2 linked regions of the Nothobranchius furzeri genome follow. The protein of the gene in region 1 interacts with the protein of each later gene in a pairwise test. Links are inferred from orthologs where the notes say so. Each region holds a gene or a part of one and is shown on either strand. Other genes may lie near its edges. The genes, in order: mcm3ap and mcm3.

The links.
Region 2: the proteins of mcm3ap (region 1) and mcm3 interact in a two-hybrid assay, tested with the Homo sapiens proteins (2 studies listed by BioGRID). The link is inferred for Nothobranchius furzeri from reciprocal best matches to the Homo sapiens genes MCM3AP and MCM3.

Annotation. Positions count from the first base shown.
Region 1 is NC_091747.1:23,628,863-23,638,698, forward strand, and holds the end of mcm3ap (germinal-center associated nuclear protein), read left to right. Parts: intron 1-575; coding exon 576-773; intron 774-879; coding exon 880-1,148; intron 1,149-1,396; coding exon 1,397-1,559; intron 1,560-1,706; coding exon 1,707-1,864; intron 1,865-1,985; coding exon 1,986-2,209; intron 2,210-2,279; coding exon 2,280-2,485; intron 2,486-2,561; coding exon 2,562-2,662; intron 2,663-2,737; coding exon 2,738-2,869; intron 2,870-2,959; coding exon 2,960-3,073; intron 3,074-3,223; coding exon 3,224-3,376; intron 3,377-3,456; coding exon 3,457-3,654; intron 3,655-3,726; coding exon 3,727-3,795; intron 3,796-3,870; coding exon 3,871-4,005; intron 4,006-4,092; coding exon 4,093-4,237; intron 4,238-4,487; coding exon 4,488-4,749; intron 4,750-4,862; coding exon 4,863-4,960; intron 4,961-5,221; coding exon 5,222-5,612; intron 5,613-5,686; coding exon 5,687-5,959; intron 5,960-6,041; coding exon 6,042-6,174; intron 6,175-6,972; coding exon 6,973-7,158; and 6 more.
Region 2 is NC_091742.1:30,390,230-30,400,790, reverse strand, and holds mcm3 (DNA replication licensing factor MCM3), read left to right. Parts: upstream 1-3,854; 5' UTR 3,855-3,960; coding exon 3,961-4,035; intron 4,036-4,158; coding exon 4,159-4,271; intron 4,272-4,502; coding exon 4,503-4,711; intron 4,712-4,779; coding exon 4,780-4,910; intron 4,911-4,988; coding exon 4,989-5,227; intron 5,228-5,319; coding exon 5,320-5,428; intron 5,429-5,557; coding exon 5,558-5,711; intron 5,712-5,786; coding exon 5,787-6,127; intron 6,128-6,343; coding exon 6,344-6,518; intron 6,519-6,592; coding exon 6,593-6,719; intron 6,720-6,788; coding exon 6,789-6,939; intron 6,940-7,008; coding exon 7,009-7,149; intron 7,150-7,217; coding exon 7,218-7,330; intron 7,331-7,406; coding exon 7,407-7,480; intron 7,481-7,643; coding exon 7,644-7,737; intron 7,738-7,811; coding exon 7,812-8,010; 3' UTR 8,011-8,163; downstream 8,164-10,561. UniProt on the Homo sapiens protein: Acts as a component of the MCM2-7 complex (MCM complex) which is the replicative helicase essential for 'once per cell cycle' DNA replication initiation and elongation in eukaryotic cells.

The sequences.
Region 1 (9,836 bases):
GCTACTTGCAGGCAGTTTTTCACATTTATGTACAACTATGGAAAATACAAACAACAGCACTCCGTTAGTTTGCTTGTTGCATGTAGTGACGTATTTCTGTCCCCTAGTCAGTGGACTGTGTTGTTGCGTCGCCCTAACCGGGCCGCTTCAGAAGTGTCTGGACCTTCAACAGAAGGGGGCCCAAAAAGCCGTGACTTGCCCGGTTCAGTTGGGTTGGGTTTTCTGGACCGGTTTACAATGGGGACAGATGAATTAGCGAGCCGATCCGCCCCGTTCCACGCCAAACCGCTCTGTGGAAATGAGGCTTGAAAGCAACAGTTTTTTCTCCCTTATGAAGACGTTCTAACATCAAAGACACCGAGACTTGATGCCAAACCCTTTGAATGTTTTAAAGCTTTTCTGTTCTGTAGAGGCTAAATATGGAAATCTCTCCTACAATTGAACTGGGGAACATGTACATGTGCTTCTTAAGGTTTCTGTTATTCCTTGGACGGTACATTGAAGGTCTAAGTGCACAGATGCATATGGACAGCAACGGTTGTGTCTAGAGACCCAAACTCTCCTGCCTCCACCAGGTGGATCACGCCACTGCTATAAAGGAGTACAGTCGCTCCTCGGCAGACCAAGAGGAGCCCCTCCCGCACGAGCTGCGTCCCCTGCCTGTGCTGAGCATGACCATGGACTACCTGGTGACTCAGATCATGGATGAGGTGCAGAACAACTACCGTGACTGGTATGACTTTGTGTGGAATAGAACACGAGGGATTCGCAAGGTAAGGATGACAAACGAATCTCTTCCTTCTTACAACCATTGTGTGTTTTTCCCAGCGTGGCCTCACAGGTGCATGTTTCAGTCTGATTCTTGTGTTGCACCTTCAGGACATCACCCAGCAGCGTCTCTGTTGTCCCCAAACGGTGTCACTGATAGAGAAGTGCACACGCTTCCACGTGCACTGCGCCCACCAGCTCTGTGAGCAGCCCATGTTGTCTTTTGATGCTAAAATCAACAATGAGAACATGACGAAGTGCCTGCAGAGTCTCAAAGAAATGTACCATGACCTGGCAGCTGAGCAGATCTTCTGCCCCCAAGAGGCCGAGTTCCGCCAGTACAGCGTTCTGCTGAGGCTCAACGATGGAGACGTCCTCAGGTAGCTTCTCATGGCAGAGTTACCACAAGGTTCAGTTTGGTGTGCCACCCCAAACATTTGTTTGACCCCATCCGGCCACCCCATCAAAGTTTTCTGGAGGCGCCCCTGTCTGAAAGTGGAGAATTATTCATCAAGATTACAAGAAAATCTTTCTGCTTGGAAGGAAAACATCAAGAAATGAATCCTGATTTTAGTTGACAGCGTTTATTACGGACTGTGTCTGTGATTAAAACCCTTCATCTCTGCAGAGAGGTGCAGCAGTTCCGAGGGGAGGTGCGAAACTCACCGGAGGTGACGTTTGCAGTTCAAGCGTTCGCTGCCGTCAACAGCAACAACTTTGTTCGCTTCTTCAAGCTGGTGAAGAGAGCTTCTTATCTCTCCAGCTGCCTCCTGCACAGATACTTCAGCCAGGTGAGAAAGCTTCAGCTCTTTTCTTTCTGGTGTCTGAATGTTGTTGGTGTTAAACGCTCCATCTTGTGTGTGTGTGTGTGTGTGTGTGTGTGTGTGTGTGTGTGTGTGTGTGTGTGTGTGTGTGTGTGTGTGTGTGTGTGTGTGTAGGTCAGAGCGAAGGCACTGAAGGCCCTGAACATGGCTCACACTGTGGGTCCTCGATCTACCGCATTCCCGATAGAGGATGTTGTCCGGATGTTGATGTTCCGAGATGCAACTGAAGGGACCGACTTCGTGCAGCAGTACGGGCTCGTGGTCAACGACGGGTAAAGCTCGTTGCTGCTGAACTAAATGCCATAAAGATTTCTCCACCGTTTTGACACATTGACCCATAAAATACATGTTTGGATTTAAAAAAGGCAAAATAACATAGTTTAAACTGTGCAGGATGGTGGAACTGAGCCGGATAGCTTTTCAGGAGCCAGAACTGCCCCGGTCTCAGAAGATGTCAGAGGTCATTCTCTCTAAGAAGACGGTATTAACTGGACAGGTGGTGAATGGAGGCCCCCTCCCCAACCCCCCGCAGCACACCCCCATCTGTAGCTTTGACTCTCAGAATAAATACAGTGGAGATGGGAAGCTGACTGAGTCCACATCCAGCTACATTAAAGGTGTGATGGTTTACCAGATTTCTGCTTCTTGTGTCGGTAAAGCCGTTAACCAAACCCGTTTTTGTTTCAGGCAGCAGCGCGGACGCTCCAGCCCTACCAGCTGTTGATCTGTCCACTCAGCTTGGTCCAGATGTTTCTGCAGTGTTTGAGCCGCTTCCCGCTGTTCCAGATGAACCAAGACAACCGTATCACCCTGAGGCCTCGCAGTTCCAGCATGAGCCTGTCGAACCTCCATCGCCCCCACCCAAACCTCCTCAGCCGCTGTACAGCGACGAGGTGGGAGGCATCGCCAAGCTGCTTTCTGCTCTGAACTTGTTTGTTTGCATTCTGCTCACGTTTCTGTCCTCTTCAGGACATGGTGGCAGCGATGGACTCTGTTCTAGACGAAGTGGTTGAAGCAGAGGTGAAAGCTGTAGCTGATGCTGGAGCAAGCTACGTCACAGAGGCTCTCTCGTAAGCTCACATCCGCTCGCGCTGCATTGGAGGCCATGAAGACATCTTGGATGATTTTACCTTCTGCTTCTGCAGGGAGAGCAGCGTGCAGGTGGAGGCTCTGGTGAGGGAGGTGCTGGGACAGATGTTGCAGGACATATCGTCCAACGAGATCAAAATGGAACAAGAGCGTGTCGTTGAGGAGAAACGCAGACTTGAAGTGGCAAGGTTGGTGTAGAAAACGCCTTTTCTGACGAGCTTAAGATGAAACCAACTTCTGCAGGATCAATAAACGCTGTTGTGTTTATTCTTCTGTAGGAGGAGGCAGGAGCACGAGGCATTTCTGGCTCAGTTCAGCTGTTGGCTCTGCACACAGATCATCCATGAAGTGCTGGATGAGACCATACAGCAGTCCGCAGCGTCTCAGATCCAGTAAAAGCTTTGCTTGATGCTCTTCTTTACTTAATCACACTTTCCTTAGTTTTGGGATATTTCCGTGACTTTTGTGGGTTTCTCTTTAACAGAAGGATTTTAAATATTTATGCCTGAACCAGAACGCTGATCTGAACTTTTTATTATCAGGGAGGCGGTGAACGAGGAAGCGGAACGTTTGGCTCAGTGCTCTGAGCAGGTCTGCTGCAGTCTAATGGAGGAGACGTTGGCTACAGCCATTTCTCTGCTGGCTGAAGACTTCCTCGAAGCTGAGCTGGAACGTATCCACAAATACATCAAAAGGTTAAAATCTGCAGAACGAACCCCTGGACAGCTATATTTGACCTAGACGTGGTAAGCTGAGTGGTCTGGCTTTGCACCAGGTGGCGTGATGTGGTTACCGTTCGCCGCCAGCTGAAGAGACAGATGAGAGAGTTCCCTGCAGCTCCTTGCTGCGTTGATCCCCGTTTTAAACTGAAGGCCCTGGTTCCCAGCGCTCCTGCTCAGCCCTCCATACAGGATCTGGCTCAAGGTCTGGTCCGACTGGGAAACGCTGGCGTGTTGGCAGTGTCCAGCACCAGGTACGTTCGCCTCTTATTTCTTTCTAGTTTACGGATCTTGACAAGCCGTGAAACATTTTCTACCTTTTTCAGGTTGTTGAGGATGAGAGAAGGAGCAATGCATCAGATGAGAGTCCACTCCTTCTATCAGCAGCTGCTGGAGTAAGTCCTGAGTCCACTGGGTTAGAGGCTTTGCCAGGAAACCGCAGTTTGACGAGTCTGTGATGATTTCCTCAGAGAGGCAGTGTGGGAACCACTTGATCTGCCAGCACTTGTGACAGAAAATATCCCAAACCCACCTGATCGCATCTTCTGGAAAGCTCTGGTCCTCCTGCCTAGCGATGATGAAAGTGTAGCCAGCCTGGCCGACAGGTGAGAAGACACCAGATGTTTTACTGCATGGGTCCAACCTCACGTTTCCTCCGACATGTCGGGCTGGTGTTGGCTGTGTTCTTCCAGGGTTCTATCAGACTGGATGGAGGTGAAACTCGGAGGAGATGGAGGCTTGGAGGAGCCGCGGGACGGCACCATGAGGACACTTTGTGTCTCCAACACACTGCAGGAGAATGGACAGAGAACTCATAAAGTCCACATCACATTGAAGGTAGGATTCGCCGTCGGGGCCTGAGTGTGAGTTTGTCCGGAGGCTCTGTGCTGCTGATGCAGGCTGGAGGTAAAACGTGTTCAATTTCAGGCCTGGGAGCTTTGTTGTTTCAGTCCAACATGCATCTTTATCGTGTTACTTTTTGTTTCTGTGAATTATTTAAAGAAATGTGTTTACTTGTTGTTTAAAGTTGTTCTTTGGGTGTGTGTGAAGCTGCACCTCCTGAGCAGGTTCATGTTACGTCTTTCAGGCGTGTCGAGGTCCGCTGTCCGAACCCGGCTTGTCCAGATTGGAGGAGTTCCCTGAGCTTCAGGGCACAAAAGCCATCATCATGCTGCTTCCCGCTCAGCCGGTAGTGGAAGTGGGTCAGGAGGACCGGGATGTTCCTCTGCTGTCTGCTTTGCTTCAGCTTAAACAGCTGCAGCAAGCCAGCAGCTGGTTCTGTCCTCTGCCTCTGGTGCTTCTGGTACCGGGCTGCCAAGATGCCAGTGTAGCTCCCGACCTGGAGGAAGGTACTGAACTACTGCTGGAAAACAATTTTAACTTGTAATGGTGGATATTTCTGTGCTGTGAATCAGCACGAATCTGTTTTCCTTTGGTGTGAACGGTTCCTCTGATCTCTTAGCCTTGAAGCTACGCACGCTGGTTAAAGAGGAGCTAATATCGGAGTACATGCTGTTCTTCATACCAGAGACAACAAATGATCTGCAGGGATCCAAACAGGTACCGATAAAACCCGGCACCAGCCTTGAACACATGTTGGCAGCTGTAATGGTTTTATTCTTTTGATTCTTTGTTGTGTTTAGAGAAACGAGTTTAGTCCGTTTTCTAACTTTGAAACGGTTCTGGATGAAGGTTGTGGAAGCAGAAGACCAAATAAAAGTTCTCAAAAAATTGAATCATGGGATTAACTTGTCTTTTCCGTGTTTATGTACTTTCAGCTGTTCTCTCTGACCTTTGACCTTTTGTCCTCCCCGTCTCCAGCTAACCCAGGCTGTACGCTGGTTGCTGCCTCGTGCTCCACCACACTTCCCGCTCCGTTGTCAAACCCTGGCGCAGCTGATCGAGGCCAGTTTGAGTCGTGAGTTCTGTCCCAGAGTTTACGCCAACCGTCAGAACCGAGCCGCTGCACAGCTTCTGCTCCAGGAGCCGGCGCCCGTCATCCAGCTGTACAACGCCGTCCTGGATCACGTCGCTAATACCGTGGCCTCCCAGGATCTCTGCAGACTGTCATGGCCTCCCGCTGAGTTCAGTCTGCCTGAAACCAGGGAGTTTGTGCCTCACCTGGGCTGGAATTCTGTTCAACACCTGGCCTGGCTGCGTGAAGCCATCCTCAGCTTGCAGTTACCTGAGTGGGAGGAGCTTCCAGCAACAGGTTAGTGCCTCAGATAGAGCTTGGATTAAAGAGGAGAGAAAGATATTTATTTGTGACCCACTCTTTCAATCCAGACATGTGGTCGGATCTGTGCTCCTCCATCTTTTGTTACGCCTCTAAAATCACCACGTCCCGTCGTAGTCAGCCTGTCCTCGTGTCACACCTGATGAACCTGTTTGAACGAGTCAGAGTAAAGGCTCAGCGAGCCCAAGCCTCCAAAACCAAGGGAAGGTGTGGAAATGCCGACTACGATGCTTTCAGCCAGGTTCCATGGGATGATGTGGTGTTGGTCTTTGTAGACCATAAACTGAAGGACTGGCTGCTGCCAGGACCACCGGTCTGTGAAGGTCAGCTTCATTCATTCATGTTCTGCTTCTTACTGGCTTCACACTCAAAACACCTCAACTTTGCTTTTTGTCCCTCTTCAAGATGCTGTGACAGATGATGGAGAGATCCTGGTTTACTTTCCTGAAGGTTCACTAGAAGGTTTCCAACCACCTGAGGGGTGGACACGGGCCGTTGAGCAAACACACATGGAGGAGAAGCAGAGGCAGAGGCATGGGTACGATTACTGATCCTGGAGAGTTTTGAAAAGTCAAAATCAGAACTTTGTTTTACTGCAAGGAACCTGAAATAATTCCCATCTCAGCCCGTTGATAGCTTCCTGAACAGCCTGTCTTCAGGACTGATGAGCTAACGGCTAGTCAGAGCGAGGTGTAAAAGTTCCTAAAATAATGTAACATAAACTTCTGTGAAACTTAGGAAACTGGAGCAGTTTTAAGACGGCAGCAACTCACTGGTTCTTCACCCAGACGAGCTGTTAGCTAGTCGGTCCTGAAGGGCATAGACTTTATTTCTGTGAACAGAGGCTGTTCGGGAAGCGAGATAAGAATGAACTTTTACACAGAAATGCTCTTCAGCATGGTCAAGATGTTCTTTCAACATGAATATTGTTAGTTTTTAGAACCTCCATCACTATCAGTGTTCGACAGCGAGGAGGAGATTAGAGACGATGACGTCTGAATTATTTCCACTGCTCTCTTGGACACGTTTGTTTTTGACAAGTTAAAGTGGGAGATAAGTGCCAATCTCCGGAGAGTTAAATGTTAGTGGTCATCTTCACTGTCGTAGCTCCACACAGTGTTAAAATATGAAACCAAGAAGCAAACTGAAGGTTTGTCAGGTTTCTGGGTGTTGGTGGGAGGACGGTGGAAAATAAAAGGAAAGAAAAACACTAAATCTGTTGTTTGTCTAATTCTATAAGATTCCTTCCAGTAAACGATTGTTTATGAATTAATTTAGACATGTTGCTCAGTATGAGTGTGTTGGTGTCATCTTGATCTCTGCCTGCCTCTTTCAGGGATGCTGAAGCTGCCCATGCTCCGCCGGCTGGTCCGACTCTCAGACAGAGGTTGTTCCACAGTTTGGTGGAGCCTGCGGAGTCATCCCCCACTCCTCTGGACATCACACACACCCCCACAACAGAAGAGCAGCTGGCTCACAAAGTCCTTCAGAACATGGAGCGTGAACGGGCCGAGAGCAGGAGGTACCGCTGCAGCTCTGCTGCTGGACTTCTGATTCACAGACACAACAGAAGAAGTTTATGAACTTGTTTATCCTTCTGGGTGTTTACCAGCTTGTTTCTTTTTCTCATTTTATACATTTAATACCAAGAAGAACATTGAAGGCAAATGATTTCTTTTACATAAATAAAACTATTTCCAATTTAAATCTTGGCACAAGAATAGGCAGAGCCCAGCAGGGGCAGGAATGAATCTGAGGTGATGAAAAGCCACCTCCTTGGTAAGAACGTGGTGCTCTATAAATAAAATATTCACCTTAAAACATCTGTGGGCCAATTTGGCCCCTAGAAGGAACCCTTTTATGATAAATGTATTCCTATAGCATCTTCTAGAGCCCTACAACCGCCAAAGCTGCTACAACACAACAGCCAATCACACCGTGAGCGATTAAAGGAGTCCGGTTCAGATCCAGATGACCCTGCAGGTGTTTGGTCAGCTCACCGCAGTTATCAACACGGATGTTGGGAATGTTGCTCTGGTGTCTTTGGCTTTGTTTCAGCGCCATTTTTAGAACCGTAAAGAACCAAATTAAAACTGGACCCCTAAATTTCTGATGTGTAAAAATTTTTAATCATTTACAGGAAATATTTTAGCTCCAACTTCTCATGTCTTCAGAAAGATGTCTACATGTTTTCAGTATTTGTCTCCTCACAATCAGCGGGTCAGATACACTAAACTTCCTCTCTGCAGGAGCATGGAGAAGCTGCAGCAGTGGGTGACTGGCGAGCCGTTGGATCATCTGTCCACGCCGCTTTTCATTCCGTCCTCCATCCTGCTGTCCACACCGGCAACCATAAGGTGTACGCCCACAGGCAAGACTGGACCGGCTGCTCTCACTCAGGTATCCCAACACTGCCTGGACAGGGTTAATTATTAAGTAATCAGAATAGATCAGGCGTAGAATAAATTCGAGGTGGGTAATACTTTGTTCCTGTAAAACCTTGATGATGTAGGCAACGTCACACTGAATCACAACAATCAGTCCAGTTGTCTTACAGAGCAAAATGTACACAGTGAAAAGTTTTTAGCTAATAGCTCTTAGGATGATCCGGGTTCTGGTACGAGAAATGGACTGAAAGTTGGTTTTGTGCCAGTCAGACCAAATGAAAAGATCACAAGAGCGAAGCTGGCTGGATCAGAAGTTACATGGGCAACACTTCTTTTATTTTTGTCCCCAGAGGTCAGAGCGTAATGAGCATTTGGATGGAGCAACTTGGTCCGGGACTCGTCCCGTGTCTCTGACATGGAGACTGAAGGATCTGGAGAGACAGATGTCCTCGAGTCAAGAGGAAGAGCTGGCCTGCAGAAGGAAGCTGAGAGGTCTTCTGAGCATCGTGCATGACTGATGGGACTCCTGTGGTTTTTATTCAGCCCTGCAGTCCCACACATATTCTAAACAACAACGAAACTTCTCTGCCTTTAAAGAAGGACTTTCTCATCAGACTGTGTGTGTGGATGTTAAATGTTTGTACCAATATGAGAAAGTTCTGGTTTTACAGGAAAATTTTGTCTTTTCATTTAAAACTTTTTGTCTCGAGTTTTAAAGATGCTGAATTAAAAATAAAACTCTAGTTTGTTTTTTATTAAATCCCAGTTAACACATTTTTTAAAGAACTTTTCTAAAGGAGCGCTTCCTGAACTCCCAACACGTCGGACATGTTCAGAAGAATAGAACCGGAGATAAAACAAGTTCTGGTTCGTAGCAAGAGTTTAGAAAGAAGTTAGCGAGATCCAGCATTTATTTTGGTAACCAACTTCCGCTTATTGGCAAGCGAATCTGCCTATTAGCTAAATGTTTAAGTACCAGCTAAATATTTATTTTCCACAATGTTATTTAGCTCCACACTATATTTTATATTTTTGGGTCAGACTTAAATATTTATTTCTCAAATACTGATTTTGCAAACTAAATGTTTAGCTCCAAAATAAATATTTAGCTGGGATCTAAATATTTATTTCGGAAAATAAATATTTAATTTACAAATTAAATATTTAGTTCCAAAATAAATATTTAATTAGTAAATTAAATATTTAGTTAGTGAATTAAATATTTATTTTACAAACTAAATATTTGGAGCAGACCTAAATATTTAGTTTGCAAAATAAATATTTAACTACAAATTAAATATTTAGCTTGCTAACTAAATATGTATTTGGAAACTTTAACATTTATAAATGTATGAATAACATGGTGAAAATATGACTTCAAAAACGTGAACTCACAATTTTTTCTCTTGTGATATGCTAAATAACCAAAAATATTGCTGTTAGATTATGACTGTTTGACTTTACAAATGGCACCCCATAGGTTCCCTTCACTAGCTTCCCCTACGTTACAACAACCAGTTTAAAGTACTGCTGTTTGTCTCTCCAAGGCCTAGCCCCACCCTACATAGACGATCGACTGACCATGTACACTCCTGTCAGAAATTTGAGATCTAGCTCCTAGTCCCTGTTCTGATCCCAAGGTCTTGTCTAAAGACCCTACCATATCATACCAACTTTATTTATAAAGCACTTTTAAAAACGGCATGGCAGCAAACTAAAGTGCTGTACAGATGAAAAGTAAAACACAACATAAAACCAAAAACACAATAATAAAAGTACACATCAAATCAGTTAAATCACAGTCAATAAAAGA
Region 2 (10,561 bases), on another chromosome or scaffold:
GCTGGTTGTATTCCTGCTCACACAACAATGCTGGTTGAAAGTGAACGTTGTTCTAAATACCAAAGTAGTTAATGTCCAGCTTCATGTATTTGATGTTAGCTTGTGTCAAACAGAAGGTCTTGCATAGACAGTATGTTTCCCAGCTTTTGGTAACTGTGGCTAAACTCCACATTCACAAATGGATCATGATTTTGTGCTCTTTTTGTGGACCTGAAATGTTCCTACTCCTCCATGAGCAATGTAGAGAACCAAAAAGCAACAAGAACCATAAACAGGACCACATGGAAGAAGGAAGAACTATCATGACCCGACTGAAATCCAGACTCGTCAGACCGGGAACAGTTTTTCCCTTCTGGTCCATTTCTGGTGGTCCTGAGCCAGATCAAGACTCTTGGCACTCTGATCTTCAGCAAGTGCTCTCCTTGCATGGAGATCCCACCATGTAATTATCCATTAAAGGCTAAAGCATCCTAGTCCTACTGTAACTGCAGTCAGCACCCTGTCAACACAATGTTTATACAATCACTGCAGGGACAATAATGATTCCATTTTTATGTAAACTACTTCTAACAAACGTTTTTATGAATGTAAATGGTAAATGGCCTGTATTTGATATAACTCCTTCTAGAGTTCTTGAAACCCCCCAAGGCGCTTTACAACACAATCAGTCATTCACCCATTCACACACACTGGTGGGGATGAGCTACAATGTAGCCACAGCTGCCCTGGGGCGCACTGACAGAGACGAGGCTGCCGAGCACTGGCGCCACCGGTCCCTCCGACCACCACCAGCAGGCAATGTGGGTTAAGTGTCTTGCCCAAGGACACAACAACAGCGACAGACTGAGCGGGACTCGAACCTGCAACCTTCTGATTACGGGGCGAGCGCTTAACTCCTGTGCCACCGTCGCCCCTAATGTAGGTTGTGTGGTGTTGTAAGGCCATTTGTAATTTACAAGAGGAAATATATGGAGTAACGGGTTGTATGGGTTTTTGAACATGGGATCTTAGGAAAATAAATGTGGATAATTTAAAACATCTAGAGATAACCAGGTTAATGTGAAATTAGTCTTTAAACAAAGAGGTTAGGTTTGGAATTAACTAAATTGGACAGACAGAAACACGAGCTGTTTTTGGCCCCATCTTGTATACAAAGGGTGAAATTGTGTTTTGTTTCCGTTTCCGGCTTGTTTTTGCGCCAGTTTTATGAAGGGTGGGTCGAATCCACGGGTAGGATGCTTACGAGTACGGGTCCTCGCCGGTCTAGGGTCCTTGCTAGACCGCTAAGACCGAAATCCAGCGGCTCTGAATTCAGACCAAGCCCCCACAATGCGGGTCAAAAATCTAAGCAAATGTGGAAATGAAAGAAATTGCAGTTCCACCCTCATCCACTAGGGGCTGGTGTCAGAAGTGAGCAAATCCTCATTGACTCCCATGTTAAAAATACCAATTTGACAGCATAAATAAACATGTTTACAGCCTGGTACCAAAACATGTTTTTGGTTTAAATGATCTAGTTTACACTCATGACAACTCTGAGTGGGGTGAATGTTTTTCTCACTCTTCTGTTTAAGTGTATTAAAAGCCTAAAATTCTGTATAATTAATGAGCATCAGACCCACGTGACCACAGAGCTAGCTCCGTGGAAAGGCCTCGGTAGAGCCTCGGTCTGGCCTGGAAACTGTTCCAGGATTTTGAGTCTCTGTGTGTGTGTGTATTCTTGTTTGGATATTATTTGTGCAATTGTTGGACAAAATGACTTGCTGTGGCATTAATTGCACTAATAGAGCGTCCAAGGAGTCTCCACTTCATTTTTTTCAGTAAGTAAAATTATATTTATATATTTTAGGTCACTGCCGAGCTGAGCTTAGATTTTAACATGTACTGTTTAACCATGAAATTTAAATGTAATAGGGTAAAACCCAGTGCATTTAACATAATGCTGCACTTTAGAAAATGGGTTGAAATCATCGGCATAAATATACTGGACATCTCCTTTCCATAGGCTCCAATATCACGTTTTTGTACTAAAATGGGAGGTGGCCACCACCACCATTTTGACCGTGTCACAGGTTCCGTCAAGCCCAGACAATTCCATAAAAGGGAAGAGAGGTGGAGCTGAGGGTGGGGCTGTAAGGCTGGGATCAACTGACGACACCCGGTCGTCCATACTGGTTTTGATCTGTAAATAAGTTAAACCTATTATAAATAATCTTGTCTCCTTACCATCTTTTCATTTTCTGTTCATGTAACATGTTCAAAAACATCTGTATTAATAAAACTGGTGATAAAACCAATGACCAGAAAGTTATCAGTATTTGAACACATTTACTAAAACAAATACAAACAGCTAAATAACATTAACATGATGACAGTAGAAGGCCTGTCTCCCAGGAGGACCAACAGGTAAGTGTTGCGTCCACGACATGAGATGGTAAAATGTGAAGAATGGGGATCACATAAGAACTGGACAGTGGATATTAAAAGGGTTTTAATGGTATACAAAGGTTCTAAAACACAAGCAAACATACGACGGGCATTATAAAAATAATGCAACACACTCAAACTTTCAAAAAGGTTAATATTAAACGACAAATTATCAACTATAAAAAACACCTGGTTAAAAATTTGTTAAAAGCTTCACCGCAAGAAGGTGTTCTAAAAGCACCGCGAAGTTGATATAAAACAATTTACTGACTTAAACACCTGGTTAAAACTTAAGTTTTACCAAACAAAGGTATTTAAAAACCATGTCAATAAAATTGCAACAAACAAAGTTAACCTTAAAAACCAACGAACACAAGATCCCACAGGATCACTCAAGAGTTTCAACTATAAAAGTTAAACTCATACAGAACGAATGGAGAACAGCAGAGCTCCTGCACTGCTGCCTCCCAGACTCTGAAGGCACAGCTCTTTTATCCAGGTGTGGCTCATCAGGAGGACTCAGCTCAGCTGTGCTCCTCAGCAGCCTGGAAGGGAGGAGGAGGGGGGGGCGGTGTCCGGCCATCACCAGAGCTGGGTGATCCTGGCTGCTTTCTCCCTCTGGCCAGGCTGGCAGCTGCACCAGGTAAAGCCTCTCCTGACCCTGGACACCTGCAGTCCTACAGAGAAAATCAGACCACAGGTGACAAAAAGGCAATAAACACACTTTTACATTTATCCACATGAGAAGATAAAACTTTTATTCTGCACACAAACTTTTTACTTCATTAAAACGTGTCAGCTGTGTAAATCCCTGAATGTAAAACTACTTTTCACAGAAGAACGTGTGTGTGTGTGTGTGTGTGTGTGTGTGTGTGTGTGTGTGTGTGTGTGTGTGTGTGTGTGTGTGTGTGTGTGTGTGTGTGTGTGTGTGAACAGCTTCCTATTCACCTCTGAGCTTCATAAAAACGCTTCTTTGCGCCGTTGTCCTTAAAACAAATGACAATTCAACACACACACACACACACACACACACACACACACACACACACACACACACACACACACACACACACACACACACACACACACACACACACACAGGAATAACTGGGACCTGCGAAACAAAGTCGTTCTGGCTGATTTCTGCCTAAAATGTAATTTAAAGAACAAACATACAAACGACAAATGTCTATAAACAGAACCGCTTTAAGTTTTTTAGGTTTCTACGGCTGGTTTTTAACAAACTCACGTTTAAAACTTCGTAGCTCTCCCCACTTCCGCTTCCTGTTGAAAATCCACGGCCGGCGCGCAAAGCATGCTGGGGGAGGGGGTTAAGTGTCACGTGATTATTGCGTGAGTTTACCCGCCGAGTATGCAAAAGACCACGTGACGGGTTGACCAATCGTAGGGCACGCTGTACTGTGACGCAGACCGCAGTGGCGCGAAAAGTCTTCAGTCGTGAGGTGTGACGGTGGCGGCAGCGTTTTGTTTCCCGTTTTCAGTTTCATCACCGAGAAAAGTTGATCAGAAATAATGGCGACCGACATGGTGGACGACCGGGAGATGAGGGAGGCGCAGAGGGACTATGTGGACTTCCTGGACGACGACGTAAGTCACCTTTTGTCCTTTGATGTGTTCCTGTAAGGAGAGAACAACAAAGGCCGCCGTCGTGGTCAGACTTGTGTCAGGAATGCGTTTTTAACAGCCTCCGTGTTGTTGTCCGACCTGCAGCAGGACCAGGGCATCTACCAGAGCAAAGTCCGCGACATGATCGGAGACAACAAAGCCCGGCTCATCGTCAACATCAACGACCTGAGGAGGCGCAACGAGACCCGGGCCGCAAAGTTAGTCACACTCGCTGTCCCCTTTGGGTCTGGAGCTCCTGAGGTTCCCCTCCATCATCCATGAGTGTAAAGATGTCTCCAGCAGACACAGCTAACTGCTCCTTCTGTTTAGCGAGATCTAACTTTTAGAGGATAAATGCTCCAAAAAGGCAGTACTGAACAGAAATGGTGGATAAGAGGCGGTTCCTCAGATCACGTGTCCCGCCATCACAGCTGGTTTTTGCCTCCCAGGTTGCTGAACAGTGCGTTTGAGGAGCTGCTGGCCTTCCAGCGGGCTCTGAAGGACGTGGTGGCCACGGTGGACGCCACCTACGCCAAGCAGCACGAGGAGTTCTTTATCGGGCTGGAGGGCAGCTTCGGCACCAAGCACGTGTCCCCCCGGACGCTGACCTCGCGACTGCTGGGCAGCGTGGTGTGTGTGGAGGGCATCGTCACCAAGTGTGAGTTTAGGATTTGTAGCTGCCTGCTGGCTCTGGGTTTCATCTAACCTTCCGGTCTTTTCCTGTAGGTTCTCTTGTGCGTCCCAAAGTGGTGCGCAGTGTCCACTACTGTCCAGCCACCAAGAAAACCATGGAGAGGGTGTACAGCGACCTGACCTCTCTGGATGCCTTCCCTTCCAGTGCCATTTACCCAACCAAGGTGGGTGTTTGCTAGCTCAGATGGTAAAGGTTGTGTGTGACTGAAGATGGCTAACCGTCATCGGTTCCGCTGCTTTAGGATGAGGAGAACAACCCCCTGGAGACGGAGTTTGGTCTGTCCATCTACAAGGACCACCAGACCATCACGGTGCAGGAGATGCCGGAGAAGGCTCCAGCCGGTCAGCTGCCCCGCTCTGTGGACATCGTTCTGGACAACGACTTGGTGGATTCCGTCAAACCAGGAGACCGAGTCCAGGTCGTGGGGACATACCGTTGCCTGCCTGGGAAGAAGGGAGGGTTCACCTCCGGCACGTTCAGGTTTGATGTGATGTCCTTCAGACATCTGTTGGTGGTTTAGATCCAGAGCTAAAGGAGAAAAGGTAAAACTCCAAACTCCCCTGTTTCTGCAGGACCATCATGATCGCCTGTCAGGTCAAACAAATGAGCAAGGAGGTCTCCCCGTCCTTCTCTGCCGACGACGTGGCCAAGATCAGGAACTTCTGCCGGACTCGCTCCATTGTGAGTGTGTGTGAGTGTGTGTGTGTGTGTGTGTGTGTGTGTGTGTGTGTGTGTGTGTGAGTGTGTGTGAGTGTGTGTGTGTGTGTGTGTGAGTGTGTGTGTGTGTTTTAATGGTGACTGTTTCTGTAGAACGTGTTTGACCGGCTGGCCCATTCGCTGGCACCCAGCATCCACGGACACGACTACATCAAGAAGGCCATCCTGTGCATGCTGCTGGGCGGGGTGGAGAAGGTTCTGGAGAATGGTACCCGCATCAGAGGAGACATCAACATCCTGCTCATCGGTAAACGGAGACCTGTAGAGCGGTTCGTGTCCACTCTGGGATTTTGTCTCACATCCGGTGTGTGTGGTTTTCCAGGTGACCCGTCGGTGGCGAAATCCCAGCTGCTGCGTTACGTTCTTCAGACCGCGCCCAGAGCCATCCCCACCACCGGGCGGGGCTCCTCCGGCGTGGGTCTCACTGCTGCAGTCACCACTGACCAGGAGACCGGTGAGCGCCGGCTGGAGGCGGGCGCCATGGTGCTGGCGGACCGCGGCGTTGTGTGCATTGACGAGTTCGATAAGATGTCCGACATGGACCGCACCGCCATCCACGAGGTGATGGAGCAGGGTCGGGTCACCATCGCCAAGGCTGGAATCCACGCCCGGCTCAACGCCCGCTGCTCCGTTCTGGCTGCTGCCAACCCGGTCTACGGCAGGGTGAGTTGGAGTGAGCGTGGCGCAGACGTTTACAAAACCCTTCAGCTGTTAGAGGTCGTCAGCTCGTGATGAGGTGGGCGCAGGAGTGAGGCATAATAATGCTTTTAACTTGGTGAAGTCGCTGCAGGCGTCCTCCAGGGACGGCTTTGATCTTGGGCGGTTCGACTGGCGTGTCGGTGGGAACGTGTGTGTTCATGAAGGTCTCTGTTCCTGCAGTATGATCAGTATAAAACCCCCATGGAGAACATCGGCCTGCAGGACTCCCTGCTGTCCCGCTTCGACCTCCTCTTCATCGTACTGGATCAGATGGACCCCGAGCAGGACCGGGAAATCTCGGACCATGTCCTGAGGATGCACCGCTACCGAGACCCCCGTGAGCAGGAGGGAGCAGGTACAGTGGCGTCCGTGTTTGATCGTGTTCTGCAGCGTGAGGAGCGTCTCACCGAGTCCGTTTATTTCCTGCAGCCATGGCTCTGGGTGGGACCGTAGATGTTCTGGCCACAGACGACCCAGATGGCCTGGGAGAAGAGCAGGAGGAGCTGCAGGTTTATGAGAAACACAACAACCTGCTGCATGGAAGCAAGAAGAAGAAGTGAGGAAGTCAGACGTGTTTTCTAAACTCTACTGGTGCTTTTGCACGACTAACAGGAGTTTGTTTCAGGGATAAGATTGTGAGTAAGGAGTTCATGAGGAAGTACATCCACATCGCCAAGGCTATAACGCCCACGCTGACGGAGGAGGCAGCCAATCACATAGCGGAGGAGTACTCCAGACTGAGGAGCCAGGAGCAGCTTGGTTCTGACGTTGCCAGGGTGAGCAGGAGAACCACAGGAACACGGAGTGGACCCACACTGCTCTGACCTTGTTCCCTCTTCGTGCAGACCTCTCCAGTGACGGCCCGTACCTTGGAGACCCTGATCCGTCTGTCCACGGCACACGCGAAGGCCCGCATGAGCAAAGCTGTGGAGCTGGTGGACACAGAGGTTGCTGTGGAGCTGGTCCAGTTTGCCTACTTTAAGAAGGTTTGTTGGTTTGTGTCCTGACCTCTGGACGTAGCTCGGACGAGCCTAAAGTCGCCGTTCCTGTTCAGGTTCTAGAGAAGGAGAAGAAGCGCTCCAGGCAGGACCGTGACTCCAGTTCAGAGGAGGAGAAGGAGGATGATGAGGTGGTCACCACACAGCAGTCACGAAGTACCAGAAAGAGGTAAACTCGCTCACGTTGCACATTTATGCTCTAAAACAGAAGCTTGGAGAGTGACTGGCATGTTTGTGTCCTGCAGGGGGCGCCGTGGCTCTAACAGCAGCGAGCCCTACAGCCCGTATGACTTCAGTGAAGAACAAACTGTTCCTGAGAGTAAGCATCAGCCTCCTCTCCTCACATCTCCACAGCGCTTCGGAACGAATAACCAGAGCCTGATTTCTGTAGAGGGTTAGGGTTCATGACCCTCACCTGCTAAAGGCTAACGTAGCTCTGAGGTGAGGCGGCTCTCATCAGCACCCATCTGTGTGTGTTGCAGTTCGGGCTGGCGCCCCGAAACCAGACCAGCAGCCGCTGGACGAGCCTATGGACGCCACATCACAGGCCGAAGCAGCGGACCTGTCTGCTGAGAGGTGAGTGGGACTTCCATCTCCACCTGCTAGGGCTGACAGCCTTAATGACCACTCTGGTCTCCTCCACCCTCCAGGCTGAAGGAGTTCAAATCGTCCCTGTTCACCGTGTTCCAGTCCAGCCACGCTCAGTCGGTGAAGATGTCCAAGCTGATGGACGACGTCAACAAGGACCGTGAGAGTCGGTTCACGAAGCCGGAGGTCCGCGCCGCCTTGGCTCGCATGCAGGATGACAACCAGGTCATGGTGGCCGATGACATGATCTTTCTGATCTGAGGGACAGGAGGATCTCGGGACTGTTTATAGCCATCGGCTGTTTCTGTCCTCTCAGAGCTCAAGTGGCGGTCATCCTGGATGACCTTTGACCTTGTATATAGTGTTTGCTGTTCTAAGTGCTGCAGTTTGTGAAATAAACATCTGAGAATACCATGAGGGCTGATGTCATCACACAGTAACAGGTTAGGCTAAATGGTAGATCTCGCCTGAAGCCAAGGGCAGGTTCTGGTCACCACCTGGCCCTGGTTCCACCCTCAGGAGCAGCAGGTGTTTGATGGTGCAGAACCCAGGAGGCCTGTCTAAGTGATGAATGTTCCCGGTTCTGAGTGTGTGCTAGTCGCCGAGTACATCTGGAGAGAAACTGCTGTGTGCATTTTCCACTCGAACATAAAAGCAACGTTGGCTCTAAAAACTAGTGATGTCGCTTATCGAGGCGTGTGTTGTTTACGTAAACGGTGACGTTCGAGGCCTCATTGGCAGTCCGTACCATGTGACCGATGAAGAAGCTGGCTTGCCGGATTCGAAGTGGGAGGGGCAGCCGAACCCCGCTGATCCCCGTCCCGTGGTGCTGTGGGAACCCTCAGTAGGGTGCCCCGAGCAGCCACGTCAGCTCTTCAGGGTTCAGCCATTTAGTCATAAATGAACAAAAACTTCCCAAAACTATCGAAAGCCCTCTTAAAGAACATTTGATGTTCTTTAGATGGAAGTTAATACAAAACCTTTCAAGAAGATGTTCTGTTTATTTTCCCAAACAAAAATGTTCATGAAACGAATAAAGCTGAAGACATTTTAAATAAAAAACAAGCTAAATGTGATAAAAAGCTTCATTCCAAATAGTTCAAACTGAAGTAAAACTATAAAAACAGAAAATAATATTTCTTCCTGCTTTCCTAATTCATTTAATCATTTTTATGGGTTTTTTTGCTCTTGAAAGTAAAGTTTAGCTTTAATACCAGCAGATAAAACGATGCTTTGCTGCATTTTTTGTGGACAATATAAAAATAAGGTTGTAGGTTTATCCTTTAAATCCGCAACTGATCTGCAGGTCTGACCCTGATGGCTGTGACACACACACACGACAGATTTAAAAAGTGTTTTATTGCTAGAGAAAATCGTCTGAAACTGTTGAGGGAAAAGGTTTAAAACTAAATCACAGGAGATGTCCAGAAGCCTGTGTTCATAAACAGCATTTTATGGGTCATAGGACTTTACTGATGCTAGATAATCTCACTGAGGATGTTTTTCTGAAACCAGGTGTGTGTGACCCTGTATGTACAGTCTATGGTGTAACCCTAACCTCCATCACCGCTCCAGCTGCTGAGACCAGAAACGGGGATCCGTGCTGCAACCGGAGCAAGTCTGTGTTTCCAGTAGAGCACGTCTGCTGAAAGATTTGTGCAACAATCAGATTTTTATTTTACTTCCACAAAATGTATTTGAGATTAAATATTACAGAAAACGGGGACGGCTTGCCATCTAATTTAAAAGCCGTTCCACATTCATTACAGTTACAAGATGGCTGCTTCCAGGTGAGTGACTTTGGCGTGCTGGAGACCCCTGGCCCTGCTGTAGTGTAAAACACTGGAGTCCTCTGACTCTGGATGGTGTCATTTATTATAATACACACACACACACACACACACACACACTGCTCAAAAAAACAAAGGGTTCAGGCACATGTGTCCGGGGTGCATCTCTGCCTCTTAGCTGGCTCTCCTTTGGGACCCACGTTCCTCCCTTTAAATGAAACCCTGTCCACCTTCGCCTCCTGCCTGCATCTGTTCATTGATTGGTTGTCCGGGCCACACTCTGCCACAGGTGTAGGTGATTGACACAGAACAGAAAGCAATGTTGCACCAAACAAACTAAAAGCACACCATCAATAAAAGCTTGCTCAATAGAATAAAAACAAGTAAATCATGCAAACAAATAAGAACAACATTACCACCACTTGGTATTGCCACATCAACCGCAACAGCTGTCGTCTGTTGTTTGTCCACCTTCACAATGCCCAGTTGGTTTGTTAGTCTGGATCTGGAAGTCCCACAGGAGCTTGGCTCTCTTGTTCTCAACCACCTTAGGGGGTGTTACCCACTTTGACCTTGGGGCTTCCTACTCTGCACAGATGTTCATGTACACGATGCCAGCCACTCGGTCGTGGCGTTCCATGTAAGCTTTCCCTGCCAGCATCTTCCACCCTGCAGTTATGTGGTGGATTGTCTCAGGGGCCTCTTAGCATATCCTACACCTTGGGTCTTGTCTGGTGTGGTAGATCTTGCATGTGTGTGTGTGTGTGCGCATGGATGGATAACTGACTGACATGTGGTTGTGATAAACTGGGTCTTTTGTAGTCAGAAGAATGCATCTGTGATTTATGAGGAACATTCCTCAGATTTAAAGGCTTCTTGTGTCGAACCCACAGCTTCATGTGATGACAGGAGTGTGAAAATGAAATGTGACTGGAATGAAAGTTAGGAAAATACAATAAAGCATCATCAAAGTTCCAGAGATGACCAGTTCTGAATATTCACACACCATCATGCTTCAAAGG